4 linked regions of the Drosophila melanogaster genome follow. The protein of the gene in region 1 interacts with the protein of each later gene in a pairwise test. Each region holds a gene or a part of one and is shown in the gene's direction. Other genes may lie near its edges.

What was found.
Region 2: the proteins of E(spl)mdelta-HLH (region 1) and sug interact in a two-hybrid assay, tested with the Drosophila melanogaster proteins (one large-scale study listed by BioGRID).
Region 3: the proteins of E(spl)mdelta-HLH (region 1) and CG15269 interact in a two-hybrid assay, tested with the Drosophila melanogaster proteins (one large-scale study listed by BioGRID).
Region 4: the proteins of E(spl)mdelta-HLH (region 1) and Osi6 interact in a two-hybrid assay, tested with the Drosophila melanogaster proteins (one large-scale study listed by BioGRID).

What each region holds. Positions count from the first base shown.
Region 1 is NT_033777.3:25,994,164-26,000,568, forward strand, and holds E(spl)mdelta-HLH (enhancer of split mdelta, helix-loop-helix), read left to right. Parts: upstream 1-3,457; 5' UTR 3,458-3,568; coding exon 3,569-4,090; 3' UTR 4,091-4,470; downstream 4,471-6,405. Other genes in the region: CG43116 (uncharacterized protein), read right to left, coding at 2,011-2,368, 2,590-2,729; E(spl)mgamma-HLH (enhancer of split mgamma, helix-loop-helix), read left to right, coding at 5,780-6,397. UniProt on the Drosophila melanogaster protein: Transcriptional repressor of genes that require a bHLH protein for their transcription. May serve as a transcriptional regulator of the Achaete-scute complex (AS-C) genes. Contributes to the neural-epidermal lineage decision during early neurogenesis.
Region 2 is NT_033778.4:12,924,775-12,932,361, forward strand, and holds sug (sugarbabe), read left to right. Parts: upstream 1-4,085; 5' UTR 4,086-4,157; coding exon 4,158-4,567; intron 4,568-5,009; coding exon 5,010-5,754; 3' UTR 5,755-5,870; downstream 5,871-7,587. Other genes in the region: CG17019 (uncharacterized protein), read right to left, coding at 6,593-6,768, 6,828-6,967, 7,028-7,587. UniProt on the Drosophila melanogaster protein: Transcription factor which represses a set of lipase genes involved in fat catabolism.
Region 3 is NT_033779.5:15,105,941-15,115,205, forward strand, and holds CG15269 (uncharacterized protein), read left to right. Parts: upstream 1-3,464; 5' UTR 3,465-3,644; coding exon 3,645-4,586; intron 4,587-6,152; coding exon 6,153-6,974; 3' UTR 6,975-7,152; downstream 7,153-9,265. Other genes in the region: stc (shuttle craft), read left to right, coding at 7,950-8,294, 8,360-9,265.
Region 4 is NT_033777.3:6,232,041-6,239,893, forward strand, and holds Osi6 (osiris 6), read left to right. Parts: upstream 1-2,667; 5' UTR 2,668-2,695; coding exon 2,696-2,914; intron 2,915-3,542; coding exon 3,543-4,262; 3' UTR 4,263-5,141; downstream 5,142-7,853.

The sequences.
Region 1 (6,405 bases):
CTTTTGTAGCGTAGAGTAGTGTTGTCATAAATATTTGTTGTTCAAAAATTAAAACACACAGTCAAAAAAAAAATAATTCACGATAGCTAAATTAAAACAAAGACCCAAAATATATTTCTGATAAATGCATGCCAAGAGTATATAAAACTAATGCAAGTTAAAATAGCTGAGAACCTTTAGTTATCGGTAGCTGCTAATTTAGCTAAAAACAATTACTAGGCACAGAAAATACATCAAGATTTTATATATTTTCATTGACAACTATATTTTATACGAGCCAATAGATAATTGAAGTAAGTCTAAGTAAATTGAATAATCTTCACTGCTTCTTTGCCCCAAATATCCTTTCGCCCCAATTTGTTCTTCCCTCGATATGTTTATGCAAGTTTTGTCTTACTTTCAGCTGCATGAATAACAACTACAAACCCGCGCACTAGACGTACCACACTTATCGCAAAAGTAATGCGTTTCCTAAATCTGCTTAAAAAGTGCTTTTAGAGAACGTGAAAACCCCCACAGAATGTCGTACAAAATCATAGAATATTTATATATATATGTATGTATGTATGTATAGAATGTCCAGAAGCGATGACCACTGAATGCGAAAGAAGGAAATGAACGCGTGTATTGATGTATGTAAACAGAATGTATATATTTGTATGTGTAGAAGGGAGTGGATCGAGGATACTATAAGCACCGTAGAAGAAGATATCGAATGGAAATATTTTTAAACGATTACCGATTGTACATTTTAATGCTTGCAACCCACAACTGCAACTAGGCACACCAAGTCCACCAGTTCCTCAAAGGATGACCGCGACCAGGCGAAACGGAGTTAACCATGAAAGCGATTAAAGGCAAAATCAAACGAAACGAATACAAGAACAAGAATAACTTAAAGCTTTAAGAAGACGGCATGTTGCACATGTCGTTTGCATTACTTTGTATTATAGATGAATCTCCCCGCAGCAAATGTATCTGATGGCATTTATTTTTTTTTTTTATTCTATATAATTTTACTTTTAAACCAAGTTCACCTCTCTCATTAGTCCTTACTAATTTATTTCATCAGCACATTTTCCAAGAAATTTCCGAAACACCAAAAACTAATCGATAATAAGCTTAAAACGACCCAGTCCGCTTTAAATATAATTTAGTTTTAAGCACAACAAAGATTTTAATCGAAATAGAAATGATAAGCGAAATGAATCGAACCAAAATAAAAACTTACGAACGTTACACATTTGTACCTCTTATTAAACAATAAACGAAGCAAATTAGTCCGTTACACTTACTTTCTAGCACATGGATTTTAAACTGTATTTGGCGTTATCCGCATTAAACAAGAACATTTTTTTAAACTAGATGCGCAAAAATGGAACTGGATTCTATACATTATTATTAATCTAAATGTATATGTGTGTGTTGCTATATGTGTATTAAACGAATATGTATCTTTGTAAATTACAGCCACTTGAAGATATTTATGAAATGTTAATGTCCCAAATTTATCAATGTACAACAATATCGAACAAATGAATATACTTTCAATTAAAATGTTTATTGAGTATCGGAACGATTCTTTTATTGGGAAAGATTAAAATTCGGAACGATTCTTAATTTTTGTTTTATGATCCTTGATCCTCCTCTTCTACTTTCAAAAGTAGGATGATTCATCATTGTCAACAGATTGAAATCTCTCTCTTAAAATCTTTCCCTCATGGAAATTGGCGCAATTGAAATCCCTGTTTTTGCATATGGCTGTCTTCCTTAAGTCGTCCCAATACCCATATCAAAACATTGCCACTCTGATGATCTCAGAAACCTCCCCCACGAAGAAAACTGGAAACGAAATGTACGAAATCAGTGCCATCAGATGTCAGCAAATGTCGCCGGTGCCTTGCTGCACTGTTTGTTAACTTCTCGATTTCATGGCTGCGATTGCAGCGACCCCTGGTCTTGGATTTGAACTGGAACTCACCCTCGGGCAGGTGGATTTCGTCAATGGCCCTATCCCCGAATACCCAATCTCGCAAAATGCGCCAAACAAGTGTCACAGCTGACCGAGGCCGAGGAACCGGGCAACCGGCAGCAGAAGTGCGGCACAATCCCAATACTTGTGGGAATGTCTCCAGTACACTTTCTCACGATGCACATGCACCGACCGACCCATCGCAGCACCGGCTGTTTGCCGCTTGCCTGGGTGGTGCTATGCTGCCGTCCCGTTGGTGGTGGTGGTTGTTGCGGTGGTTGCTGCTGCTGCTTCTGCTGCTGATGATGGTGCTCCGTGCCCGTAAGTGTAACGCAATGTCGCGCCAAAGAGGAAATGAGGTCTGTGTGACTGTGCGCCAAAAGGGAAGAGGCCACACTGCAAGAAAATTCGAACTCTAAACTAGCAACTTATAAAGATGGCTTATAAAGACTTCGGGATTGCATTGCTTTTAAAGCAAAGTAATGCAAATTATAGTTTAGTTACAGAATTTAATATATTATTTATGCACATTTTGCATATTTCTGAATATTATATTTCAGTTTACAAAACAACATTTTTTCCAGTGCACCTGCACGCATACAAGCAGAAACCCACACCCATATGCAACAATGGCATTGCCTCGACAAGATTGGCTCTTTGGCTTAAGTGAGGACGGCACGCATGGGGCTCGGCTCTCTTTTCTCGAGGGAAGTGGGAACCAGGGAGCACGGATGGCTGCCAGGCAGGTCGAGGTCATGTCGCTGCTGATGTCGTGTGTGCGTGTGGTGCGCTGCTGGTGGTGGTGGTTGATTGCTCCGACTCTTTCCTCCTGCTCTTCCTCGGAGACCCTTCTTCAGACTGTTGCGCCGGCGCACGGCAACAGCACGAGGAAGAGAGACGCCCGAAGAGAGCGCGCTACTAGCTCGGGCGAAGATCCGAAGAACGTGTTATTGGACCCTAGTCAATACACTGAAAATAACTTTAAGGCATTCTACTATTATGACCAAGGTTAAAGAAGCTTTGATTAAAAATAAATTAATTTCTAAATATATAAAAGTTTCTAAAGTACAATAAAACTATTTTTTCTTTGTTTATACTTATCGTTGTAAGATACTTTAGATGCATGAGAAACTTTGGTTTCCAGAATGGACATCCAAAGAGTATGCTTCGAAACTTGTATATTTTAAAAGTAGTTTATATAAAGTATAGATTTTAAAAATTGTTCTCTGCCACATATGGATTGTTTTCAGTGCAAGAAGAGAGCCTCAGCGGCTTCCGCCCGATCCAATTTTTTTGATGTTGCACACGTGCAACGCCGAGGGAATCTTGCCACAAGCAGAGAGTGACCCGATTGATGCTTCGTTGTGATCGTCGGCGTGTAGGAGCGTTGTGATCGCAGTGCGTGGTGGCAGTTAGGGGAGGATTTCGATTTCGCAAGTGTACGGCACCAGCAGCTACAAAAAGGATCAGCTTACCTTGCGGCAAGATCATTTCTCAAGTGACTACCGTGCAGTGCGGAGCGGCAGCAGCGACATCGCAACATCGCAACTTTATTTACAAACAATCACCACACCAAATCAAAACCCATTATACACAATGGCCGTTCAGGGTCAGAGATTTATGACCAAGACTCAGCATTACCGCAAGGTGACCAAACCCCTCCTGGAGCGCAAAAGACGCGCCCGGATGAACCTGTATCTGGACGAACTCAAGGATCTCATCGTGGACACCATGGATGCGCAGGGCGAACAGGTCAGCAAGCTGGAGAAAGCTGACATCTTAGAGCTCACCGTCAACTATCTGAAAGCGCAACAGCAGCAGCGAGTGGCCAATCCTCAATCCCCACCACCCGACCAAGTTAACCTGGACAAATTTCGGGCCGGATACACCCAGGCTGCCTACGAGGTCTCGCACATATTCTCTACGGTTCCCGGCTTGGATCTCAAATTCGGCACCCACCTGATGAAGCAATTGGGTCACCAGCTCAAGGACATGAAACAGGAAGAAGAAATCATCGATATGGCCGAAGAACCAGTTAATCTAGCCGACCAAAAACGTTCAAAGTCTCCGCGAGAAGAGGATATTCATCATGGCGAAGAAGTCTGGCGCCCCTGGTGAAGGGCATTCCATATATACGCAACCAATTAACATTGATAGCTTTACTACTCAGTTTCATTAAGAAACAATCCAAGTTTTCCAAGGTCTAGTGTAAACATTTGCCTCAGAATCGTATTTAGTTGGTAGTTGATTTGATATGATGTGATGTTCCTGTGATAGTTCTTAAGTTCGTATTTTGTATTTGATCTCCCATAGGCTTACTGATTCATGTATTTAATTCATTGTAATTTATTTCATCAACTTTGCAAGAGCTTCCCCACCGAGCTTCCACTTAGCCTCATTAAGAACAAATTTTTGTGTATGTTTTAAAATTATATTTTTCGCTTTACACCATTAAGTATAAGCCATGAACATTTGAATAATAAAATGAACGTAAACTGAAATTTTAAAAGCTTTATATTATTTGGAATATGAACATAAACAAGGTTGCTATAATCCATAGGTACATAGGTACAAAATGTTATAATATATATAATTATTATATTATAATTATAATTTATAAGCTCTTATTTAGCTTTCTTCGATATAAAAGATATATCAGATATATTTAAATATATTTCTAAAATCTAATTTGAAATATATAGAAAATATATATTTTCCTTGGAATTTTAATAATTTATAATTCTAAATACCAAATACCGTTATACTGTCCACTTGAATTCAAGTCAATTGAACTCTCCCCACTCCGTTTACAAATCCCTGTAATGCACCACCCATCCAACCATCCATCCATTACAAAGGTCCTGGAACGCGAGCAACTTACAGCCGAAAGTGTGTCCACAGCGAGCCACACGCGAGCAGCGCTCCAGGATCAGCATCGCTGGCCCCTTTTACATGGCGGATGGAGGGAGAGGCAGAGGTCCTGCCGGGTCGGGGGGATCGGGAAGTCGTACACGCATTAAGCGCACTCGACGCACACGAGCAATGTTCCCACAGGATCATAACAGCCGACCAACAAGTGCAGGATGCCTCTGTCCTTGTCCCTTCCTCTGCCACCAAACACGAACCCGATCCAATTTGGAATGCCAACGGTAAACAGGAAGTTGTCGAGGAATCGCAACGCCTCGTCCTTATCCTTATCCCCATCCCCCGGCGGAGGTCCCCGCTATCGTGGGAACCCCGGAGGACCCCGATGAGATGGCATAATGCAAGCAGTTCATTATCCTTATGCCCCTCACCCTGCCATGCCATAGTCAAATCATAACACACAAATCTAGAAACGGCAGCTGTTCGCTCTGCAAATTCCCATGCCCATGGCCGTGGCCATGCTCGGCTGCTTTTTGCGGGCAGGTGAGCGAGTCGATGTGAGAAACCGAGTAGGAAAGTGTTTCCCACGATCCTGGCAGCGATCCTGCTCCCTGGCCCGTTTGATAAGGGTGCCGGGGCCAACAATAAGAAATCGCCCGAACAATAAGGAGCGGTCTCAAGAAGCGGAAGGGTCGGTACCGAGCAACCCTCATGCCAGCACACGAAGCGTGTCCCCGTCCCTTTTGCTCCTCGAATGCCAGCACACACGACGACGACGACGATCCCTTTGGCCCATTTTTTGGGGGTTGTTTCTGGCCAGCTATATAAGGCCGATCACCGAAGGTCTAGCAACACACAACGACTTCGACTGTCGGAGCAGCAAGAGCTCAAAGAACTCAGCTTACATCGAAACTACAAAAAGAACAATAAGAAACACACAAAATGTCGTCGCTACAAATGTCCGAGATGTCCAAGACCTATCAGTACCGCAAGGTGATGAAGCCCATGCTGGAGAGGAAGCGTCGTGCCAGAATCAACAAGTGCCTGGACGAGCTAAAGGATCTTATGGTTGCCACCTTGGAGTCCGAGGGCGAGCACGTCACCCGTTTGGAGAAAGCCGATATCCTGGAACTTACCGTCACCCATTTGCAAAAGATGAAGCAGCAGCGTCAGCACAAGCGGGCTTCCGGCGATGAGAGCTTGACTCCGGCGGAGGGCTTCCGTTCCGGCTACATCCATGCCGTCAATGAGGTCTCCCGTTCACTCTCCCAGCTGCCCGGCATGAATGTCAGCCTAGGCACTCAGCTAATGACCCACCTGGGACAGCGCCTCAATCAGATCCAGCCAGCAGAAAAGGAAGTCTTGCCGGTGACCGCTCCACTCTCCGTGCACATCGCCAATCGGGATGCCTACTCCGTGCCCATTTCGCCAATCTCCAGCTACGCCGGCAGTCCCAACTCCAATACCAGTTCGACCAGCCATTCCCTGTTGACCACCATCGATGTGACCAAGATGGAGGACGACAGCGAGGACGAGGAGAACGTCTGGCGTCCCTGGTAGATAGGATT
Region 2 (7,587 bases), on another chromosome or scaffold:
TCACCACCCAATGATTTGAAGGTCAGTTTGGCTGCAGTGATGATCGCTTGATAGGTGATTTCCCCGCCATCGTATTAAATTCGAATATACATATGTGTGTGTTCGCATTGCGCCGGTTTGTTCATCAGGCCTCCGTTTCGGTTTCCCTTTCGAATGAATGTTTAGGTTTAGGGAGAAGTTAATATGTAATAATCATTCGGAAGTTTTCCAAATGGGTACCATTTCAGTTTGATCACTGAATACCTCTGACAAATAATATCATTAGATTTGTTTTTATGTTGTTAATTTGAACTATTCGAAAAGTTAGTAGGATACCACTATCAAATGTATGTATTAACTAGCGGGTTTACAATTCACAATGTGATTAACAAGCTTCTAAATTTGTGTGAATAATACTGGTTGAAAATATTATATCTCTTGTTACAGTTCGTTTAGCTTTTGAAAAAATGATATTGGTGATGACTGACTATAGGAACTCTCAACTTTACTAATTACCCACGAGCAAAAAGTTGATGTCACTTCCTGCATGAGTTCCCAATTATAATGATTGCGATATCCAAAATATCCAAGTCACTATTCACTATTTCAGAATGGTTCTATGTCACAGAAAGTCTGCAACTTGAACAGTTTGATACTCAGGTATAGATAGTTGAAGGACCAACGCGACACCTTCATAATGCCCTTTATCTATCGGCATTCTCAGACTGAAAGTTGGCTATACTTCCTGCCCGCCAATCGTAAATATAAATCGGTTGATAAGACGTCTGAATTACCCCCGCCAAGAATGCCAGTCATATTTTTAATGGAACAGCCCCCAGCAGCGTTGTGCTATGGTTGTGTTGGATCACACCGCCTGGAGGTGCCATTGAAACTTTTCCGCTAAACAACCCAATGGGAGGGAGGGAGCAGCAACAAAATGAAAAACACTAATGTACGAAAAAAACAAATTTCGCCTCTCATAATAATGCCCAGTCTAGACGAGATATTGTCAGGCGTATCAGTGGTGGTAACAGCGACAAGAGCATATCGCTCCAAAAAAAAAATAGCAGCACCCATTGAACGGGTATAAAAATAGAGCTTCAGCCGGAAGGTCTGCGCTCCGGGGTCTGTGGGCTCCCACGAATGTCTGGAATGTTTTTTTCCCCCGTTTTTTTTTTTCTGCTTTTGGTTTCCCCAGTTGCCTAATAACTTTTCCTTTTTGGCCATATCAAAAGCTGTCTGGCGATAAGCGCCCTATAAATAATAGATCCGAGTCGGCCGAATTCGAGCAGCCATCTGTAATTATCGGGTCGGAATGTGAGTGCGAGTAGTTGTGGCTTCCATGCCTCGGTTGCATGTCCCTGGCTTGGATGACTGGCTGGCCCGGCTGGCGGTACATGGACTTTGGAAGTCTATCGTTGGCGGCAACAAAGTAATTAGCCTTCTGCGGGACTACCATAGTCATATCAGCGCCCCCAGTGGGTTCCCACTGCAGCGATAAGCCGGCTGGACTACGCGTGGAACCTTCTCCGCGGCGGCTGCTGCTGCTATTTCTGCTGCTGCTGCTGCTGCTGCAAATGTGCATCTTGGCTGATAAACCCCTAGGTTCAGGCGCACGCCCACCGGTCAAGCTGGAGCGCGGAACGGAACGAAACGGTTCGGATCGAATAGAATCGAATCGGAGATCCCAATCCGAATCTGCTGCGAGGGCTTATCGGACCACCAGACCACCTTTGCCAGCCATCCAGACCCCTCCGGTTATCGGTCGAGTGTTGTTAATTTGATAGAAATATTGAACATCATTGCGCCCGACGGACTGCACCCTGCCATTCCGGTTCGATCCGGATCGCCGCCGAGTGTCTATACGCCTAGTTTGGTGCCGATTTGTTATTATTTACGCCGAGATTCGGACCACGGAAAATTAATAAGCGCACACGCTCAGCTCCCCAACGGGAGCTCGCGCCATACAAAGTTCACACAGCCAGTCAGAAAATCCGGATTTTTTTTACTCATTTTCTGCGCGGCTTTAATTGCCGGCAAGCGGCAAAAAACATAAAAATTAGGTTGCGCCTGGGGTCCTTCATCGCCTGTCTTCGATTTGGGGAGGCGATACGGACCCAAGGCCGTGCTTTTGGAAGATTCCGCTGAACTGACCTCGCCATGCGCGACTGTACCTCGGCTCGATTGTCCGGCGGAGCAGTTGTGGTCCGATTATGCCCCCTATCTATTTATAAATCATGATTCGCCATCTGGTGGGGGAACTGGACTGGAGTGGAATGGGTACGGGTACGGGGATGGGAATGGGAATGGGAATGGGTACTGCGATGTGCAATTGGCAATGAGTCCGCTTCCACGACCACAACCACGTTCGCCTCCACCTGTCGCACTGCTGATAGAGGGCAAGGGCTTATCAAAGTCCCTGATGTCAGGTTGTCTCTTTACGTAAGCCAGGGACCCCACTCGTTGGCCCGTGCACAGGGACGGATTACGTTGTGGGGATTGGTCGATTGGCGCTGGTGCTCTGCAGCGCCGGGGTAGAGCGAAGGTTGCTCCCCCAGTGATTCACGGGACCAGACAGCGCCTCCGCCGCGCTGATAACGACGATAGCTTTATGGCTGGCTGATAGCTGATTGCCATAGCCACCACCCAGCAGAGCGCAACTCCGCGTCCCGCCGAACCATTCGCGTCATGGCGCACCAAGTTTTCGGGCCAAAAGATATGGTACCATGGCGGCATGTGGCGGCGTTTGTTGACTTGGCGTGAGATAACCAACCACCACCACCTTATCGCCGTCCCAGACGCAGCGCCCACACACTGAGGTGAAACCGGCGGGCGAACCCAAGAATGAATTTCTGGGTTTTGGGATCGTACGCTTGCATATCAAACACATGTGGGGGAAGTTTAGTATTTCTGATAAAGTGATAAAATTATAAATGAGAATGTGTGTGGGGTTTCACAAAGCTCAAGCTAGAAAATATCACTTTTGTTTTCAGTGTACTCAAATCAAATTTAATAAAATTAGCGTGATTTCCTTATGCAACACATCAGTTGGGGTTTTATATCCATTATAAAGTTCGGAATTCAAGGAAGCTTCTAAGCTTTAACTTTATAAACAGCTATTAAGCTTAAAGTCTAATTTTAACTTTGTAATAATAAAACATATTGAGAAATTGAGAAATATATTACAGAATTGAAATTAAGTGGCTTCCACGAAAGTTTTTATCCATTTCCCTTCAGAGTATAGGAATCACATAACGATTCAAATTGTCTGCTTAAACTTTTGATTCTTTGTCTCAAAACTATAACTATTTACTTTTTAGTCACAAGCTCGAATATATAGTTAGGTCAGGAAAACAATTAATTGTTTTATTAATAAATCTATTTATGGAAATTATGCAAGGCGATCTTATAGTGGCCTCTTTGTAGATTCTAGAACTAGCCATTCTCAGGCAAAAGATCTAGATGCGTCTTCAGACGTATTAGTCCATTCGCTTTTCTCTGAGTGCACTAGTACGGCTCCAAGAGTTGACGTACCTGTTCCAATGAAGGGGTGCGATTCGGATCGGGAGTGGGACTCGGATCGGTACGCAGGGTGGGGTGCGGCAGGGAATTCGCTACGCGGTACGAAGTGCAAGTCAGGCAGGCAGGCAGGCAGACGGCACCGGGCGATAAGACTTGCCCCCCAAAGAGCGATCATCGGGCACACACATGTGCCTGTGTACATATGTGGACTGGCTGGCTGGCTGACTAGCTGGCTCTCCACTTGTGCGTTGATAAGCGGGCCCAGACCGTACCCTGGTCGCCCCCCAGTCACCCATCTGCGTCGCAGTCCATCCAGCACAGAGTTTCACTCACGTAGTGTGTGCTTTTGCCCCAGATCCATTTGCCCCAGCGGATTTTTTTCCACCGCTCCACCGCTACGCACCTGCTCCTCGGCGCTCCACTGTTTTGGTTCCGTCTGCCGCCGTCTGCTCCCCCTGCCCCTGCCACGCCCCCGCCGGACCCGTCTGCAGCCTTCGAAACTGATAAGCATACCCTGTCCGTCTGGGCGACCCCTTATCGCCGTCCAAGTTTCGCATATTACCCGAACCTCTGCAGGCGAGCGGCTCATTCGATCGGCAGGCGCTTTAGCGAAAGCAACAAATTTTCTCGATCAGCACCCACCACAGACAACAAACATGGATATAATACAAAAGTCAATCTTCAACAGCGGCCCACACAGCAGAGGCATCTACGAGCCGCCTCTCGGCTACTTTACGCCGTATAACACACCACCGTACATAGCCGCCTACTCGGATTCCGGCAGCTGGTTGGCGGATCACCACCAACACCACCAGCAGCAGCACCAGCAGCACCAGCAGCAGATGCAGCACATCAGGTTTCCCACGCCGCCCATCACACCGCCGCGTCCCATCGCCGGATACGGATATCGTCAGCGCACCCAGTCCGTGATCATGAAGGCTCGTGGCCAGCAGGACGAGCTCTGCCGCAGTCCAGTGGAGTTCCCCGACGACAGCAAGTCCTGCAGCAGCAGCAGCGAGTGCGGCACCGCCAGCGATTTCGTATGCAACTGGACAGATTGCGATAGGTAAGTGTCAACTGCATTACAGAATTATTGTGAAAATTTCAAAGAAATTTCCTAAAGGGGTCTCAGCACTTTCGTAATGTTTTTTAAAAACGAAAAAAAAACTCAGCATTATATTTTCTTTTGAATTTTGAGTTGCCAGAGAAAGACATTGAGTAGTTCTAGAAAAATATAAAACACAGTTCCCCCGCGTTTTACCATTGAAACTGATTACGCATTCGAAAGAAATAAAAAAAAAACCCCGGAGGCAGCCTGGCATTTGCTGAACTGTTGGACTCGACTTTTTGATAAACCCTCCAATAGCGATAATAATGTGATTTTGGGTCAAATTGATAGAGATGCAGTGTATTGTTTATGGTCAGCAAGTGTATTAATATTGGATAAGAAATCAATCCAGTACATGTTATTTTCGTACTAACCACTTATATCCCTTTGATCCTTGCAGAGTTTTCGACACCTTGGATGCACTGGCACAGCACGTGACCCAGCGACATGCGATCGCCAGCCTGACAGACGGACTCTACTATTGCCGCTGGCGGGGATGTCAGCGCAGCGAGCGAGGATTCAATGCCCGCTACAAGATGCTTGTCCATACCCGCACCCACACGAAGGAGAAGCCACATCGCTGTCACCTGTGCGAGAAGTCCTTCTCGCGGGCGGAGAACCTGAAGATCCACATTAGGTCACACTCGGGCGAGAAACCCTACAAGTGCAGCTTCGAGGGCTGCCAGAAGGCGTACTCGAACTCCTCGGATCGTTTCAAGCACACGCGCACCCATTCGATGGAGAAGCCGTACATGTGCAAAGTGGCCGGCTGCCAGAAGCGCTACACGGATCCGTCCTCGCTGCGAAAGCACGTCAAGACCTTCAAGCACAGCATCCACCTGATCGCCAGCCAGCCGCTCACTCTGCCCAGCGTACCCTGTCTCCTGGAGGCCAGCAGCGAATCAGCGTTCACGTGTCTTCCCGCTGCCAGCAGTGTGGAGTCCACCAGCTCCTCCTCATCCGCCCGCTACTACGATGACTCCAACAATGAGCCCAGCGATTACTCGCTAAAACCCAAACAGGATGCGGAATTCTCGCCCAGCTATTGGCTAGGCGATAGACAGCATAGCTATCTCCACAGCGAGGACTTCTTCGTTAAGATGGACGTGGAGTCACCGCTCGACCTGCGCATCCATCGAATCTGAACTGGCCAATCGGTTCGCCTCTCGTCTCTCTTCCCCTTCTAGTCATTGCGCTGTTTCCCAGCTCTTGTCACCACACCTAGATTACTATTTAACGTGATTAAAGACTGTTGTAATTGAACTGCTCTAGTTTGGCATGGTGGCATGGGAGTATCTTCGGGATTGATCTGATCTAGGTTCCTTCATAGTGGTTCTGGGCAAAAAGAGTATTTCAAAGATTTCGAAAAACCATAAGCTCAAGGTATGGGAAAATCCCCAGTTACAGGCGATTCGTCACAAAACTAGTGACCAATCTTAATCGACTTCGATTAGAATTTATGATCCAGACAACCTTTGTTTGGAGGAAAATCCCCATTTCGAATGGCTGGGCTAATAGAGCGCTAGATATTGGAAAATATTTATTGTTTAAATGCGCATCTAGACGAGTTTTTCACACAACTGTTAATAACAGATTTAATGTTTTTTTTTGCGGTTTATAGGAATGTTAGTTGATCTAGATAACCTCTCGTTTTTATACAAACAACAAGAACAAACAAAATAAATAGCAAAAGTATTTCACATTTGAAATAGATGAATACACTTTAAAAGCGATATCAGGTTTTACACTATATATAGGCATATATATATACTGGCAACATACTACAGAGAAGAACCAAATAATCAAATTAATATTATTGTTGCACTCGCGTCATTTAAGGAAACATATACGTTGTAGTCGCATCATCAGGATCTGCTGTACAACTTGTACAGCTGGGCTGGATCTGTATCTGTATGTAGCTTGTGGCGGCTATCGGCTTCCATCATTACACTATGTCCAGTTACCGTAAGATTAGCCGTATCATTACGCTCTAAAAAATCTTACAACTCGTACAATATATTGTCGGCAAATTGGGCACTCGTTCAACACTTTTCCACAGCTCGTGCAGGTGGCCATGTGTCCGCACTCTAGAAAAACGCACTCAATCGGCGCATCCATGCAGATCTTGCACAGCTCATCAGTGGCGAGTTTTTCAACAGCTGCGTAAATGGTTGAATCGTTATGAGGGTGAAATTGTAGTGCAAAGTCCAAAGCTCACCTGGACACTCGCGCATGGTTTTCCACAGTCTGCTGACGCGGTCGAGAAGCTCCTGCTTCTCGCAACATCCTTTGTAGTCGACGCGGTGCAGCATCAGCACCTCCTTCAACTGCTTCACTGTCAAACCCTCCAAGTCTTTTCTATAAATCAATAGAGAGGCATTAATCGATCATGAACATTCTAGAGAATAGAGCATTTACAAATCCTCAAAGTCTTCCAAATTGACAAATCGTGAGTCAATGCCGGCTGTCGGTTCGAAGTCCGATGGAGCGGCGTATACATGGATGCCCTCGTCATCGTCCCAGCGGATATCTTCGTCCTGCGTTGGCGAGAACTCAATTGTTGGCGTGATGGGCATGTCCGGTGATCTTCCACCAGCAGCCACACTGATAGCATCCACGCTGAGTGGCGACACCGCGTGGCTGTCCGCATCGGAGGCATCCACCGACTTGGTTCGCTGCTCCAGGTACGTGAGAAACTCCTGGAGCTCCCGTTTGATGTCCTCCTCGGACATTTGCGAGTTCTCCAGATGGCGTCGCATTTTCTCAACATGTCGACGAATGTTTGTCTTATTCTTACCGCAGCGCTGGCAGCTCTGGCGATGGGAGTGCGGATGCAAGCCGTGCTCTGGGTGTTCACTCAGCGTGGAAAGTCCCAGGCTTAGGCCAGGTCCACCTGGCGCCACAGGCGACTCGTCATCGCTGGAATGGTAGCGGCGATTCAAGTAACCATCGGATCGTCTTCGAGTCACTTTCTTTGT
Region 3 (9,265 bases), on another chromosome or scaffold:
ATTTTAACAGCAAAGAAAGTTCCCTTCAAAGACGTTGACAGCTATTCGTCAGTCCATTAAATTTGGGTTTGTTTGTTTTTTTTTTTTTCTGGGGGCTGTATTATCTGTTTATAGGATGCATTAAAAGTCAAACGATTTCGGGCGTGTTTGTTTCATCACTTTCGTGTGTTTTTCAATGTGGGGGGTCCATGGGGGATTCAATATATGGCAAGGGGATCGAGAGGGTCGAAGGGCCTCCCCCCTTGATTTATGTTTGTAGCTCATTTATATTGAAATTTGATATATACGAGCGCACGCTGTTCATTTTGCAAAAGCCGCCGTCTCCACTTCGTATTTTATATTCGAATTAATTGAAATGATTGTGATCTACAACATTGCCGAGCCATACGCCTCGTTTATTCATATGCACAAACATACATACCTATATAGTTTAGCCACTTTGGATCCGTATATACATATGTACATACATATATGGACGTGCATATATAATTTACGAATATCGCTTTGTTCGCGCTCTACTCTCCTTTGTCTCTGTCTCGTTTTCAGCGAACTTTTATTCCATCCATATAAATTATATCGCGGCTAGACAATAGTATAACACCTCCTAAATGCTGTTGTTAGAGCCCTGTTTTAGTTTTATTGCCAAGGCCTGACAAATACATAAGTTTGGGAATTGGGAGGTGGGCGTTTCTGTAGAATTTGCATGCAAATTTTGAACCATTTCTAAGCACTTTCAAGTTTTCCGATTAGTTTTGAAAGTAAAGCGAATAAAACTATTTTGTCATCATTATTTTAAACATTTTTTCTTTATGTTATACATAGCTCTAAATAATTTAAAATGATCATTTTTGTAATTACTGTATTCAATTTAACTCAAATACATTTCATGGCCAAAACGTGTTACCTGGAAATTCAGAACTTTATATTTTTGTTGCTTTTAGTTCGCCTTGAAAGATCAGAAAGTCCAAAAAGGTCGTTCAATCTTATTGCCAAAATGTTGGACCCACCATCGCTGGAAATAAACTTGGCAAATCAACACATTTGTCAAGCTACACATAACAAGGCGCAGACGAGAAGGTCCAAACAATCCAACGATCCAAAGCCCCATCAGCGAATAAAACCAAAGGTCCACGCAACTAAGGAAATTAAACGGAATCCGTAAGGAGGACAAACCCGAACCGGCGGTGAAGATCGGAGTTCGGTGGGGAAATCCCAGGCAAAGTTGATCACCCGCTGACAGAAAATCACTTGGCAACGCGGCTGATCATTAACCGATAACACATGACATTAAAGAGTTTCACAAAGAAGTTTTAAACGCACACAAAATAAGATAAATGCCGACCACCCCAATGAGGGGGAACCAGTCGACTGAACCACAACGCACAATCCCGACAATAACGAGCGGAAAATTAATAGTGTGAACAAAGAAGAAGAACCATGGGGAAGATCGAGGAGATGGAGATGGAGATGGGGATCTGGGCATCTGAGATAGGTATCAGCTTACATTGGAGACGGCCCCAAAACGACGACGGTAGTAAGGAGTTGGAAATTTGTCAAAATGTCAACGGGTGAAACAGTTTTGGAGCGTTCATGCGAGTCACCTGGATGCGTTGCGATGGGATGCTACGGATGGAGATGGAGCTGGCAATGGAGGGACTTCGCATGGGGCAGCCACGTAGCTTTTGTAAAACAAACCATTAGCAGCTAATAAACATTAGTCATGCGACAAAACAAAGTCTCCTGGAGTCTGCTGCAGAGGCCCGATGATTTAGTGAGTGTAATTAAAACTTAAGTTTCCTTCGCTTCGCATATGTAAATTATCTGGCGGAATTCCACGAAATGCCAACCGAACTGAAAAAAAAAAACGAAATACGAAAAAGAGTTTTTCAACTAAGGTTGAACAAGTTTTGTGGTGTTCGCCCGGTCCTCATATGTATAATTATAATGAATAGCCTGTTTAATCAAAATTTATGCAGATCGTGGTCAACCAAAGCGAGCAGCGCGTGTTGACAGTCAAACCATTATTAATCACTGGCAAGAGGATCGGTAGTTGGCTAGCGCGGAGGATTTGAAGGGGCTTCTCCGCCAGGTAATCCTGATAAGATCGTTTTGTAAGTGATCGTGGACAAATCGTGTGCAAGATTGTGCCTTGCGCATTAGAGTCTCTCTATGCGGCAATTGGCAATTAGAAAACAGAGACTTTCAATCCTCCAATCCTTGTGAGTCAGAATATCAACTCCATTTCACCGGATCTCATTCCATGTAGCTGTAAATGTATACCACTTCATTTGTATCTGCAGCTTCCTTGAATTCGCGTGGTGTGTCACCATTTTACTTCACCTGTGTATGGATCCTCCGAATCCTCGGCCTGGATACCATGTTATTTATGCGCGTTTCATCCAATCACAAATCACTTGAGGAGCATTTTGTTTTGCACATTTTTATGGCCGCTACTGATGCTATGCAAGTCGAGGAAGTGGTCACAGTCCCTCTTGGATGGCAACTAAATGTAGTGGATCAAGCTTAAATGCTTCAGAAAGAGGTATTTGTAGGGCACCCTTAATTGGCATAGGCTATTTTTTAATAAATTTATGGAAAAATATTTGGGTTCAAATTGTTGTTTCTTAAAAATTCTTTACTTTACTTTAATGGCACAGCACGTCCTTAATTACTAAAATATTTCAAGAGGGTGTCATAATCATCCATATATGATTATTTAGACCTTTTGGGCTTACGTTAAGTTTTTTGGCCAGTGTGGTCAATCATGAACCGTTAACAACCCTTTTTAAATTCGCAAGAAAAATACCTGATTTCCTATACACCATTTTGACGATCGTTTGACGGTTATGTCATCTAGTCCCTAGCTTCAATTCCTTCCCACACTCACACATGGCTAAGACTGCAGAGCCGTGACGAACCAAGTCACCTCAAGAGATGATCGCTGCGCATGCGCATAACCGTAAGATTCACACATGCCTGGGAATCGGATTCGGAATCAGCGAGGATGTGAATGTGGACGGGGATGAGAATGTGTGTGTGTGGATGAGGAACAAGAGAAATACATTTTGAAAATTTAACGATGCGCACATTTTATTACCGCAATTAATTACAAAAACAACGCGGCCAAAACGAAATCTTAGTCACTTTATCAGAGAGGTCCAGTGGATAAAAAAAATGAAAGAGAGTAGTGCACGGAGAGCGATCTGAAAGGAGCGATAAGGTTTATGATAGATGTGACTAGTAGAACGCTACTAGCAAATGGTTCTGGGTCTGCAGATTGCAGCTCCTCTCGTAATTGGAGGCGCGACAGTTTGTCTCCAGCAGTCAAACCTGGTTAATTGGAGAAGAGACTCCCGGTCTATGAGAGAGAGAGATACGGAGCGAGACCGACCTGTACGGTCAAACCTGTTTCTCGACCAATTAAATTCGAGAGCGGGAGCGTAAGCCAGGCTTTAGGCCCGGCCAAAAGACGATGACGGCTGCTGTGGGCTGTGAGGCCAAGACATTTCGTGTTTCGACGCGTAACGCGACAGTTCCCCGGGCTAAAAAGCGCCTACGCCTCAGAAAATAGTCATCCGAAACGGTAACGCCTGCGGTCTATGAGTGATTCTTCGGTGTGGAGAAGAATGGGTTTCAAGCACGCCATGCTGCAGCGCAGTTACGACCTTTCGCCCTCGCCGGCGCGTACTTCACCCACCAATGGAGTCCAGAACTTGGGAGCTGGGGCACAGTTGCCACCGGCTCAAGTCACTGACTTTAGCATCAGTAAGATTCTGGGCAAGGAGCGTAAATCCGCTCAGGATACGAGCACGAATATCCTGGATCTATCCAAGAGCAGTAGCAACAGTATTAGGAGCCCACAGGCTCTTGGAGGGCTGGCAATACCATCAACTCCTTATGCCTCCGGTGCCTACTCCATGTTGCCGCCAGATTTGGTGGCCATGGCCAATGCCACCAAGTTCTATGCCCAATTCTTCCCGCACTTACTGCCCGCCTATGCGGCTGCTGCAGCGGCTGCCGGCTTGAGTACTCCTCCTACGTCGCCCTATCAAACACATCAGCATCAGCAGCATTTGCCAAATCAGCAGAAACGCTTCTTTGCTCCCTATGTGATCAATGGATCGGTTCCCCCACCACCACCACTGCAGCAGCAACAGCAACCTCTCATACGCACCAAAAGCACCGCATGCACTCGTCCGGATTGCCCGGAGTGCCTGGATTATTACCAAAGATTGCAGACTGGTGGCTATAAGCAGACCGCACCTCTCATCTCACCCGCCGCCTCCTCGGTGAGCAGTTCCACCGGATCAATACGTCCTGTGAGGGATCTGATTATGAGTGCCACTGGAGGAGCCGCCAGCACTAACATCTCACTGACCACCGTGACCAATCTGAGTCTGAACTCGGTCCAGGCAACGGCCGTCGGAATGATGCCCAAGATGACCGGTGGACTGATCACCACAGCCGTCGGCAGCAACAGTGGAGCAATCGGTGGTATCGGTGGATACAATGCCACATCCGCCGAGGAGATCAGCTACAAGTGCCGGATTTGCGAGAAGGTATTCGGATGCTCTGAAACTCTGCAGGTGAGATTTTATTATTGTTATTAAATTATTATTACGATGGTGTTCTGTTTACAAGTATATATCATTTATGACAACCAAAGCGTTTAGTTATCAGTTATTAGCTTTAGAAAAGATAATTCATCCTAAATATATTCCAAACTCTAACCCAAGGATTCAATTTATTCTTAAAATCCCTCAAAAACGAGTAAACACAAAACACCCACGAAACAAATTTTTATATTTATAGTGTAGACAGAATTTTAATTTTTTTTATTTCATTAGACCTTCAACTTTTAAAAAATGAAATACAAATATTCAAAAAATATATGCAATTCCCAATTAGAATTTAAGAATGAAATGATTTAGATTTGCCAGATTATATTTTATTTCAGTTTGCTGCTGTTTAGTTATAAAAAAAGCGAAACGAAATGAACGATTGTATGAAATTTTCTTATAAATTAAATAGCACAATCAAACTTATACGTAAAGTCACTTAAAGAGTTTGTACTTACACACAAGCATTTGGCAAATGCACGCGTATTTTTTTTTTTAATTATAAGTAACAAAAAAATTAATGATTTAGATCTCATCAACGGTTACGTATACATTTATCACAAAGAAATATGTGTTTATGCGGAGTACTAAATGATTGAGAATTATTATTGCAAAGCCATTAAATAACTTTAGGAATTTAACTCCTTTCAAAACATCTAAGCCAAGAACAGCATTAACCTTTCACATGGCCATACATCACATAAGATATCGTTTGGCCGGTCCTCAAAGTCCACATCCACACGAGATCCTCCCAAAACGGGTTTCTTCACCAACAGAGATACCATATGGATTTGGGCGGGGCCTAAAAAACAGAGAAACAGTAGTCTAATTGGAAGGCGGAGCTCCGAAGAAAAGAGTGGAGATTCAAGTGGAGTGGGGAAGAGAGAGGCAGCGAAGAATTGAGTGCCTTATGCAAATCTCGCAAGCAATCCGAGTTCAAAATGGAGTCGGCCGAAAACAGAAACAGAAGCGGGCAAAAAAGAGAGAACTGGTTTTACGCATGGGTGCAGCTACAAGATACGTTAGAAAGGGCCAGACGCCGAGCGAGAGGTAATCACAAAATGGCCACTTTGGGAAAGAACACCAATTTCAGTAGCTAACTGAAGCAAGCCACATTTGAAGTTGCAACAAAATTATTACAAACAATGGGGAACATTCGAATGTGTAACCATGGTATTTTTTGCATTTCTGGCTTATTTTGTATAAGTATAAATGTGTCCAAAGCTCAGTTTTCAGTAACTTTATATTCGAAATCTTCCAATCCTCACTAGAACTTATAGAATAAGGTATTAATATTAGGACCTAATTAAAATGTTGCTAAACATACTCATCTTGAAAGCCTCCCTTCCAAAAACTAACTAACTAACGAACAGTTTGTAGAAAATCGCTGTTTTATGAATTTCACAACAGATTTTCACTACCTCAGGTTTTTTATTAAAATTTTAAATCTCTTACTATTGCTACAATATTACTATTGCTAAGCTAATGTATCTTATTTATTTATCTTATTTGTCTATTATGTTCTTATTTCAGGCTCATGAAAAGACGCACAAATCGCCGCGTTACGAGTGTGCGGATTGTGGAAAGGGTTTCTCCCAGCTGCGAAATTACAAATATCACCTGTCCGTTCACCGAGGAACCAAGGAGTTTGCCGCCGAGTGTCCCGAATGTGGCAAGACATTCAACGATAAGGGATATTTGAGCAGTCACCTAAAGATTCACCGGAACCGGAAGGAGTACGAGTGTCCTTACTGTCCCAAATCGTTCAATCAGCGTGTGGCCTTCAATATGCATGTCCGGATTCATACCGGCGTGAAACCCCACAAATGCAACGAGTGCGGAAAGAGATTTTCGCGTAAAATGCTGCTCAAACAGCACATGAGGACGCACAGTGGTGAGAAACCGTATCAGTGCTCCGTGTGCGGCAAGTCCTTTGCCGATCGCAGCAACATGACCCTGCACCATCGCCTCCACTCGGGAATCAAGCCCTTCAGCTGCCCCCTGTGCCCCAAAGCCTTCACCAAAAAGCATCACCTAAAGACGCATCTGAATTACCATACAGGCTGCAAGCCGTATGTCTGCCCACATCCCAACTGCAATCAGGCATTCACCCAGTCGAGCAATATGCGAACCCACGCTAAGAAGTGTCAGTACCGTCCGTTGGATGGACTCACGGTCACATCATCCGCACTTCCAGTACCGGGAAAACAACAAACAGGTCCACCGCCCACTTTGGCCATGGCCATGGCTCAAACATTTCAAATGCCGCCACCTCCTGGAGTTCTAACACCTGGATCTGGTCCATCCCAACCGCCGAGTCAGCAAACCCTTCTCAGCAATCTCAGGACATTCTAAATGGGTGGAATCGTTGTGCCCGGCCAGTTTCAACCAAATTTGTGGCAATTACAAAGTGCAGTACTTCCACTGTTGTTATTCAATTTACATTTATTTTCAAGCAATAATTTTGCTAGAAATTAAATTAGGAATAGACATTAATTATTATTAAAATAGGCATATATATTGGCCAGTCAATAAAGTATAATATCAAATACAAAAGGATTCCAGGATTCTAGAAATAATATTTTGGATTGGAGATATGATTGGGAGTCCAACTAGGTAATTTCGCTTATAATCAGATAACGCAGCCTTATTTAATTCAAATCTTCTAGTGACAAAAATTAAAAGATGTATGTTTTTTTAGTAAACAAATGAACGAACCGTTGCAGTACATTTAACATATTTAAAAGTGCGCTCTCACTCAGCCAGATGGCGCCACCTGATAGTTTATTACCACTGTAGGTGTGTTGAGTAACTAAACGAAATCTTGCTGTTAAATTGTATTCACAGCTGTCCTAAAACCGAGTTGGCAGCCCTTTTCCCCTCAAAAATCGAAAGTCTGTTAATATATCGATAAGTCAAGGCAATTGTCAGTGGTACCGTTTCGTCTGGTATGACCGTGTTGTGAAATTTTGTTAGAAATTTACAATATAAGCGAGCATAAAAAACGCAGGAAAAGCGCAAAAAAATCAGTAAAACGTGCCTGCGGACCCAGGCTGCGGTGCGTCCAGTTGGCCGTAGAAAGCCTTTACCAAATTCGATCGAACTGAGAATTCGATTCGGTTAACTTCTGCATTGGGCTCAATTTCACCATTGCACACGTGTCTGGAGCTTTTCCTGGGTTCGGTCACCTCCTCCTCGGATTGCGGACGATCCCGTGGTAGCGCTGGGAAATGCCCAGCAGAGGACGGCGGGCAGTTCGAGATTGTTCCGGCAAAGAAGCAGGCGCAACTGCAACAGACGCTGGTCACCAACGACAGCACCGGACTCTCAATGGCTGAGTACTGGCAGCAGTTGACCAACGGCGCCGGAGAAGCGGGACCCGGCAATGAGTCATCCGCCATGGCAGACTGCAACGGAGGTCACGAATCGGCGGCAGTGGGTGGTTCCTGCAACAGGCACAGCAACAACAATTACGTGAACTTCAATCAGTTCATTATGCAGCACAATCTGGGTGGAGGAGCGCCCTCGAATGCCACCAGCACTATGCAACATCCGGTGGGCAGCAGCTACACTAACTTCTCCCTGGGCGGCGGTGGAGGAGCCTTTGGACTGAACCCACCAGTGGCATCCGCGAGTACCAGCCACTTTGCAAATGTGAGTCATCAATCTCCGAATGTATGTTTCGATATATTAGAACTTAGGTTTAGTCCTAATGAATCAACTAATAAATCACAAAACAGTTTTACTCGCAGGCCATGATCCCAACCTATCAAAATGGCGATGGCATCGCTAGAGTCACCGTCACCAGCAGCTATGGGTCGGTCAATCCGAGCAACAGCAATTTTTCGAGTTTTTACACACCTTTTGGCAATAATCCGTTTGACTTCAGCGCTTCCAAGCTGCAGGCCTCGGCTCCGGAATTCGTGCCCAATTTCGCCAAGCTGAGTCTAGAAGAGACACCGGCAGCCGCCACTACGAACGGAAACAGCACTGCCAGCCTAGAGACTGCCATAAATGAGACGAGACCTAGGACTCTGCGAGCCCAAGAACCAGCTGAACGAGGAGCTAACAACCAATGCTCGAACCATAATTACGAACGGGAGCGTGAGCGGGAACGTGACCGGGACCGGGACAGGGAAAGAGACCGGGACAGAGACAGGGACAGAGACCGGGACAGAGACCGGGACAGGGACAGGGACTCTAGACCCGGAAATACGCGACAACAACGCCGCTCCGACTATCGGGACGATCGGGAGGACCGGTACGAAAGAAGCGATCGTAGGAGGCCGCAGAAGCAGCAACGCTACGACAATCATCGCAGCAACAAACGCAGGGATGACTGGAATCGCAACAGGGACCGCATCAACGGCTTTCCCAGGGCCGTTGACGATTTGGACACGAGCAATGAGAGCGCACACCCATCGCCCGAAAAGCAGTCGCAACTGCAGCAAATCTCCCCAAGGCGAGGTCCACCGCTACCACCGGCGGATAACGAAAAACTATCGCAGCGAGAGAAACTGGTTCGCGACATCGAACAGCGCCGATTGGAGTGCCTTGTATGCGTGGAGGCGATCAAGTCGCACCAGCCAACCTGGTCGTGCAGGAACTGCTATCACATGCTGCACCTTAAGTGCACCATCACCTGG
Region 4 (7,853 bases), about 20 Mb from region 1:
GCAGCTTTCCTTTGTGTCTTGTTCAACTACATAGATAAACATAAATATAGCAACCGGAAGATAACTTACAGAAATTACCCCTTTGTGCTCTTTAGGGAGGTAAATACCCCGGCGATTTGGACGAAGGATTTATGAATTGCCTGCTATTCGGATAGCCGAAATTTAAAAAAAAAAAGTGGCGAAAAATCGAAAGCTGGGTTCTTTCATGGACAAAATATTGACCTCCACTGTTTCAGTCAGTTTCTGATGTAACATAATGTACAAGTTGTGCGTTGTTTTTTTTTTCAGAGCGGCTCAAGACACTTGCGATTTGTTTACCCAGCTCGGGGACAGTCATAAACAATAACAGCAACACCTCAAACACAACAGCAATATCGAGCAGCAGCAACAACATGCCAGTTCCAACTACGAGCGAAATTCATTCATAAAAGCTCACACACTGGACACTTGGACGGCTGCTTGTCGCATGAATGGCCAAGCCTGTTCGCCATGCTCTTGGCCATTGGCTGTTGGTCATTTGGTAGTTGGTATATGGTAGTTTGGGAGTTGGAAGTTGGCACATGCCAGTCGCCAGACAAATGGAGGCGTTCACGCTCGGCGCGTGAACCGACATAAGTTCGACCGTTAAGACGGATGTGCAACGGCATTCGAATTTGCATGGCTTTGCAGCTCCGAACCCATTTGCATCCGAATGTGTGCCGATTTATGGCGGTCGAAGGAAACGCAAAGCGGAATTCCAGCCTAAAGATCGCATCACTTGTTTTGATTTTCTCCTCTGGGGAGGCTGCACCCATTTCGACGTTGATGTTGCGTTACAAAATGCCTCACACTTTTACCACTGCACGCTTATTTCGATTGACGTCACACGGCCAACTGAAAGCCGATTTAATTGTGGTAGCAAATTACACATACGCCCCATCGCCCATCGACAATTTGGCGTCCATTATGCGGATGATTCAGGGGTTTCGTAAGTCGCACCGCACCAGATCCGTATGATAGTGTCGGATGTCGTCAGTCACATACATTCACCTTGAAACGGGAGCTCGGATCTTTCCAAGAAAGCTACCATCCATCCAAGCACACTGAGGAAAATCGTCATGATTTTATTTCGCCGAATTCAATCGATTTCTATATGGAATTTGAGTTTTAATTATGTATAGTAAAGGATCATTGGATCATTGATTGCAGATTCTAGCGTCGCGGACGCAGAATAAGTTTGTGTCATCTTTACTGTATAATGCCAATTTAATATGCTATTAAAAGCTTATCAGAACTTACTGTAATTCCATCAATTTACTTATTTTTGACAGCTTGATAAAACAAATCAAGTAAATTTCGCTAAAATACAGCAACTATGTGATGATTTCGCCAAGTGCAGTAGTCCATCATCTGTGGGTATCTGGCGTCTTGTGCGCATCCGTTTTTGTTTGCTTTTCGTGTAATTTCTCTTTCATTTCACTTGAGCAATTGAAGCGAGCTGTTATTTGCACTTTTGCTAAGCTCAAATTGTTGACTAATGTGTCACAATTGCCGAGTCAGGCCGTTCCTTATGATTATGCCCGCAGAGGTGTTTTCACCTGAGTACTCGAACTGCCCGAAGGAAAAGTCCCGAGTAGGACGTGCCTATCTGGCCCTAGATCCCGGCTCCCAGATATCCTGTTTCCAGACCCTGTCCTGGTTAAATAACTGTCATTATATATCACACTTTATGTTGCGCAATAAAAACAGAACCACAATAAAGTCACGAAAATAAAAAGTAATTTCAAGACGCGCACATGCGGTAAACATAACTATTTTCGGTGATACCGGGTCGACGGGGGGTATTAAACGGAGATGACATACAGACCAAGGGCCAGAAATAACAGTAGTATGAAAATATTATACAGACAACTTTCATTTCTTGCGGCAAAGTGCCCAAAAAACAAAAGCGTTCAAAAAATTAACAAAATCCAGAAGAATATATGACACATATTATGGCGGAGGGGGGGGGGGCTGGCCCGGCATCCACGGGTTAAGAGTCGGGGTGTGTGGAGGGTTAACCTGCGCAGCACCTGTTTATCACTTCATGTGTTGTAATCTGTGAGGCTCCAGAAGAAACTACACCTCTTTGTCTGCGTGCGTTTGTTCGAGGAGATGGGCAGAAGACTCTGCGGGAAGATGCGTCTTCAGGGGTCTCTTCGCTGTGTGTGTGTGTGATGCGCGCATGTGTATGAGTGTGTGGGGGAGAGAAGACGAACAACCTTGGCTTTGGCTCTCCGATGGAAACTTTCTCGTGCTCTCACATTCAACAGCCCTGCTGCCTGCGCTGACGTCGACCGAAGACGAAGAAGACTCGTCTTCGCATGCTCATGCGCAGCGACTTTCTTTAATGCGGAAGCAGACAAAGCTCTGCCTGCGCTTGCCTAATGCGGCTTCTAAGCTCGGAGGCTGCTGAGAAAGAGAGGCAGCGCTGCGGTCAGAAAGAGAGGGCAGCTGCCGTCTTCGCAGAGTCAAAATGCCAGAAAGAGCACGCAGACACGTGTGGAAGAGGGCTCAGGCTCTTCGGCGACGGAGACCCTAGCTGTATGTGTGGGCACCGGCGCTTTTTACATAATTTTACGTTATGCCGCTGCCGAGGCGACCGCTACGTTGGAAACTCTTTAAAAACAGCCTGACAGCGGCGAAAAGTTATCAAACCGCAGCTTGTTCCATTCGAATGAACACACCAGTGATTTCGGTGGTGCCAAAGGAATTCAGTCTCAGAAATCACCAATCCACCAACCCAGCCACCAGCATGAAGTTCTTCGTTGCCACCGCCTGCATCCTGCTCCTGGCAGCAGGTATCTCTGCCGATCCCGTCAAGGCCGCTGAGGAGCAGCCCGGCGCCTTTGCCCAGTGCCTCGAGTCCGACTCCATCTCGTGCCTGCAGCTCACGGTACGGATTATCTAGGCCCTAAGGATTATATACCCCTATTACAAAACGAAAGATCAAAGCACAATCGAGAACAATTGCAAAGATGCTTAACAGTGAAAGTGAAACCAAAAAATCAATAGATCACCGATTACGTGTTGTCCCATGTGATCTAAAGGATACTATTGAAGTGAAAGTGAAAAACAGTTTCTTTACAGCTTCCTGTCAAGCTGCAACTATTTCGCAATAATCAATTTTGAAAAGAGTGTGTAGTTTGCCAAACACAATTGACACCTGACAGGAAGATGTGAAAACAACATTACCACTTAAAAGTGTTTTTTAGACTTGCCAGCTGCTCTAAGCACATCTCTTTTATATTTCCGAGCTAAAAATATATCATCGAAATTCTATTCTAAAATTCTAAAATCTAAAAACAGTTGATAACAACAAATTTTCCCTTACTTGCAAACTAAGAAATTATTTTAAATTTCACTCACAACTAAATTCTTCCTTAGCCACTTATTTACATACACATGAAGTCATATAATTATAACAATCAATCAAACATATCCTCAATGACCAATATTTTAGACTTTAGATCACAGTTTATTACAGTTCGCTCTAATTCGAAACCCCACTACCTCCTCCACAGCTCTTCCGCAAGGCCAAGTCCGTGTTCGATAACCCTCAGATCGAGCTTTTCGGTGGTGTTTCTCTGGTGAAGTCCAATGAAGGTCGTCAGGGCAAGTCCCTGGACAACTCCCTGGCTGTTGAGGCCGCTCCCACCGTGGAGGCCCGCACCGCCGAGATGGGCAACTACTTCATGGACAACGCCAAGAGCTTCTTCGCTGAACGCTCCCTGAACTTCAACTTCGCTAACGCCGCTCGCAGCGTGGCCCGCGCCATTCCCGATGACATCAAGGCTGATCTCCGCGAGCTGGTTGTTGAGTCCCGTACCCGCAAGAAGAAGCTGCTGAAGAAGTTCCTGCCCATCCTGCTGGGAGTTGGTGCTAAGATCGCCGTCCTTGGAGTCGGCTCCATCTTCGGACTACTGTTCCTGGCCAAGAAGGCACTGGTTGTGTCTGTTATCGCCTTCTTCCTGGCTCTGGCTGCTGGTGCTTCCAGCGGACTGGGACGCATCGGTGGATCCGGAGGCGGCGGCGGTCTGCTCGGCGGTCTGGGAGGTCTCTTCGGCGGCAAGAACGCCGGTGGATCGTCGGCTGCCAGCACCGGTGGATGGTCCTCGGGTGGTGGTGCCTCCAGCGCCGGATGGTCCTCTGGCGGCAGCTCGGGTTGGGACACCCATGGTGCCTACAGCTCGCCTGTGGCCCAGACCATCGCCTACCAGGGATACAAGCAGGCCCGCCGGTAAACAATTGGTCAAGAGCCAAATTAACCGAAGGACGAAGGCCAAGGAGAGAGAGAGAAACAATCGCTAAAAATGATGACCTATATTTATATTTATTTATAAATTATTTATTTTAATTTATTACTTGAACGAGAAGTACGAGACGAACAAAGTGCCTTCCATTAGACAAAAAAACAATCACTTAATAACAAGACACACCCAAACACCAAACACCACCTTTCATCCAGAACCGCCAATAACCTCCACAAAGGAATCTTTACTACTTTCCGCACTCCTCACTCTTCACGCTGTATCTCAATTTCATGGCTGCACCTTTGATAAATGGACTGCAAATCTTTGCGACTAGTCGATCCATCAGTCAAAGCCAGTCGCCTCGCCCATCTAACTGTATCTATCTCTCATCTGTTTCCATCTATCTCTGTTCTACGACTATCTCTATCTGTACCTCTACCTTAATCTATCTACCTATCTGTCTATCCATATCTGTCTGACTATCTGGACTTTCTCACTTTACCGCCCGGGAAAGACCAACCGAATGCTGCTAAATCAAAGAATCAAATAATAATTCAAACATAAAAAATACTTTACCAACACGACTCTCTTTTCTCATCACCACACAATTTTCATTTCGGTTTGCATACGCAACTCGCCATCACAGCCCTCGACAGCATCACTCATACGCCGCGTTGTCTAGCAAAGCATTTGCACGTGGATGGCGCAACTTTCATTTCACTTTTACCCGCCTCATTCTTCCTGCTATCAGCCTCCAAAAATCGAACTCTTTATGGGGTTTCTAAATTTCACCCACTTATTTCACTTCCACTCTTCTGCTTCTGGTAAACTCCATTTTCACTGTGAACAAAGGCACATATGAACAAAGGCAATTTGCTGAAAAATAAAACAAACATTTAGCTACGCGCATTTCGGTTCATTCAAGGCGGGGCACCATCGTATTGTATTTTAATATTTCTCCACCTGACGGAGCCCCATTGTTAGGCGACGCTTAGCACCTTTTGGCCCAAAGAAAGTTGTAAACGCCGTCGAAATGGGCCCGGCTCAATTGAGCCTAAGTAACTGAACTGAAATGAACTGAACTGAACTGCAGTTGCCGGTTGGCAGAACGGCACTTTACAGCCGCTGATGGCTGATGGGCCGATAGGTGCTTTACTTATGAATATGACCCACTTTGGGGGCTGGCTCATGGATGCTGTGCACATTGACTGCCTATTGGCTTTCTTCGTGCACAAATACGTCAGCAATTAATGTGTCGCCGAATGGCTTAAAAGCACTTTTCTATGATCATTGGGGCCGGTTGGTTGGCGTTTCGTTGTTTGATTTGCTTGCTCAGCACACAACTGCTTGGTTCTGCTTCTACCGCAGTTTACAACTTCATTTCGGGCCCAATCGTGGACTCTTCTCACTCTTCTTTTTGAATTGTTTTGCTAAGTGAAATTCCTAAGTAGTTCTCCATTGAAGGTGTCACGCTTTAAATCAATAGCTATTGTCCAGACGCACTCGTAGGAACACGCAAAGTCATTCCCGGTGATTGTGGAGGCAGTGAAAACAGACACTCCCAAGTCATTGAAAACACGGTCATTCCCGAACACAATCGTGTCACAAATGGGCTGTTGCTCAGAAAAAGGGAAAGTGCATGGCGCCTTGTGAGAAACCATTTGGGAAATGAAACTATTCCCCTGAACTGAGTTCTACGAAATGCATATTTATTCAAAGTGGGAAGTACCATAATGAATCATTTGTCCTCTTTTTTTTTTCTTTAAGTAATAATAACAGAATCCTTGAAGCATAGAATTAGAAACATGTCCTTACACAATTATGTTTTTTTATGTTTATATCTTTTCTAAAATCTATTTTTAATGAAATGCTTCAACAGATTCCATTTCCAACCAATTTCTTCGGCAACGTACAAAAACCAACTTTTTAAAATTTTATTTGCCAAATCCACTAAAAGACAGGATTTTATTGGAAGCCCCCGTACCACAGCCGAACGCAGCAAAGTACCTTGGAGTGCTTCTGGATCGCAGACTCACATTTCCCAAGCATGTGACTGACATCAGAACACGCCTACGTGCTAAGTTGGCGAAGCACTACTGGCTACTTTGTTCGCGCAGTAAATTGTCGCTATCCAACAAGCTGACGATTCTGGAAGTCTGGGTACCACATCTGGGGCTTGGCATGCGACAGCCAAATAAAAAGGATCCAGGCTATTCAAAATAAGGTAGCAAGACTCATCACCGGCTGCGAGTGGTTTGTGCGAAGCACCACACTACCACCCTTAACAGATCTCGCCCACCAAGGAGGCTCAATAGAAGGCAACCAAGGGATCTCATTTCCCGATCTCCTTTGACAAGGGTCAGCAGAAGCTGACGCTTATCAAAAAACCTATTTGTTATATGTGTTTGTTATGTACTGTATTATTATTGTAAACTAGAAAAAGCTAACTATAGATAGCCGCCGCGCTCAAATGGGCAGAATTAATAGAAAAGAAGGACACAAAGGGGCTCCAAGATTTCCCCGTATGCCTTAATAAATTAATTAATTAATACTGACAAAAAAAAAAATTAAACCATGACTACTCTCATATTTCGATCAACAAATAAAATAAATAGTTCGTTTTATTTGAAAACGCTTAAATCAGCTGGGTAAAACTGATGAAAGCCATGACTCCACCAAGCTGATAAGCCCGATGGCTACGAATCTTATATTCCTTTCATCTTTATTTTATTATATAAATACTATACGTTCATGAATGGAGTGAAAGACTTTTTGAAGTCTACTTTACAGCAACAAATATGAAATTATTTCGCATAAGGTCTCTTATATTTTACTAGCCTATTTTTCAGCGAAAAAGAAACTTATGTGAATGGTCACAACTTTAAAGTATTCGGCTGAGAACACAGGGCTTTCAATAAGAGATTTACTGGACTTTCTTTACAGACTTGAATCCAAAGCTGCGATCGAAAGCCTTTCTTATTTGTACTTAAAGCTTGGCGAAGAAAGTTTACAAAAAAGACTTTCTGACGGAGTTTTAAACCAACAACCGCTCAACATATTTAGATCGATATTATTGTCACATTTTTACTTTATAGTAAATTTTAAATGCTCGAACGTTGCGAAGCTTAACATTAAAAAGGCCAAAATTTTAACATTTAATAAATAAAAATCTGTGAATAAAGAAAATCCATTTACATTTTTTAGTTATTTTGTCGGCCAAAAATGTATGTTTTTCATAATTAAAAAAGTTGTGGTTGTTTATTTTTTTTTTTTTTTTTGAGGGGGAATATGGCGAGAAACACATCAGACCCAAAATTCAGTGCGAGCTCAGAAAAGCAGCAGGCATGCTGGGCGTGTATTGCCTATTTTTCTATAATCCACTAACAGGTGCCATTGACAGAGCCTTTTACAATCTGAAAACCAGGTAGGCACTCGTCGGTTGGTGGTCCATGTGGTCTAATCCAACTGCCCAGGCACCGAGAGCTTTTCCGGTTTTGTGGTTGGCACTTTAAATTGGGGTTCGGTGGTTGGTGGTCCGTGGTCCATCGGTGTGGGTCAATGTACACTTTACGGATTTGGTTC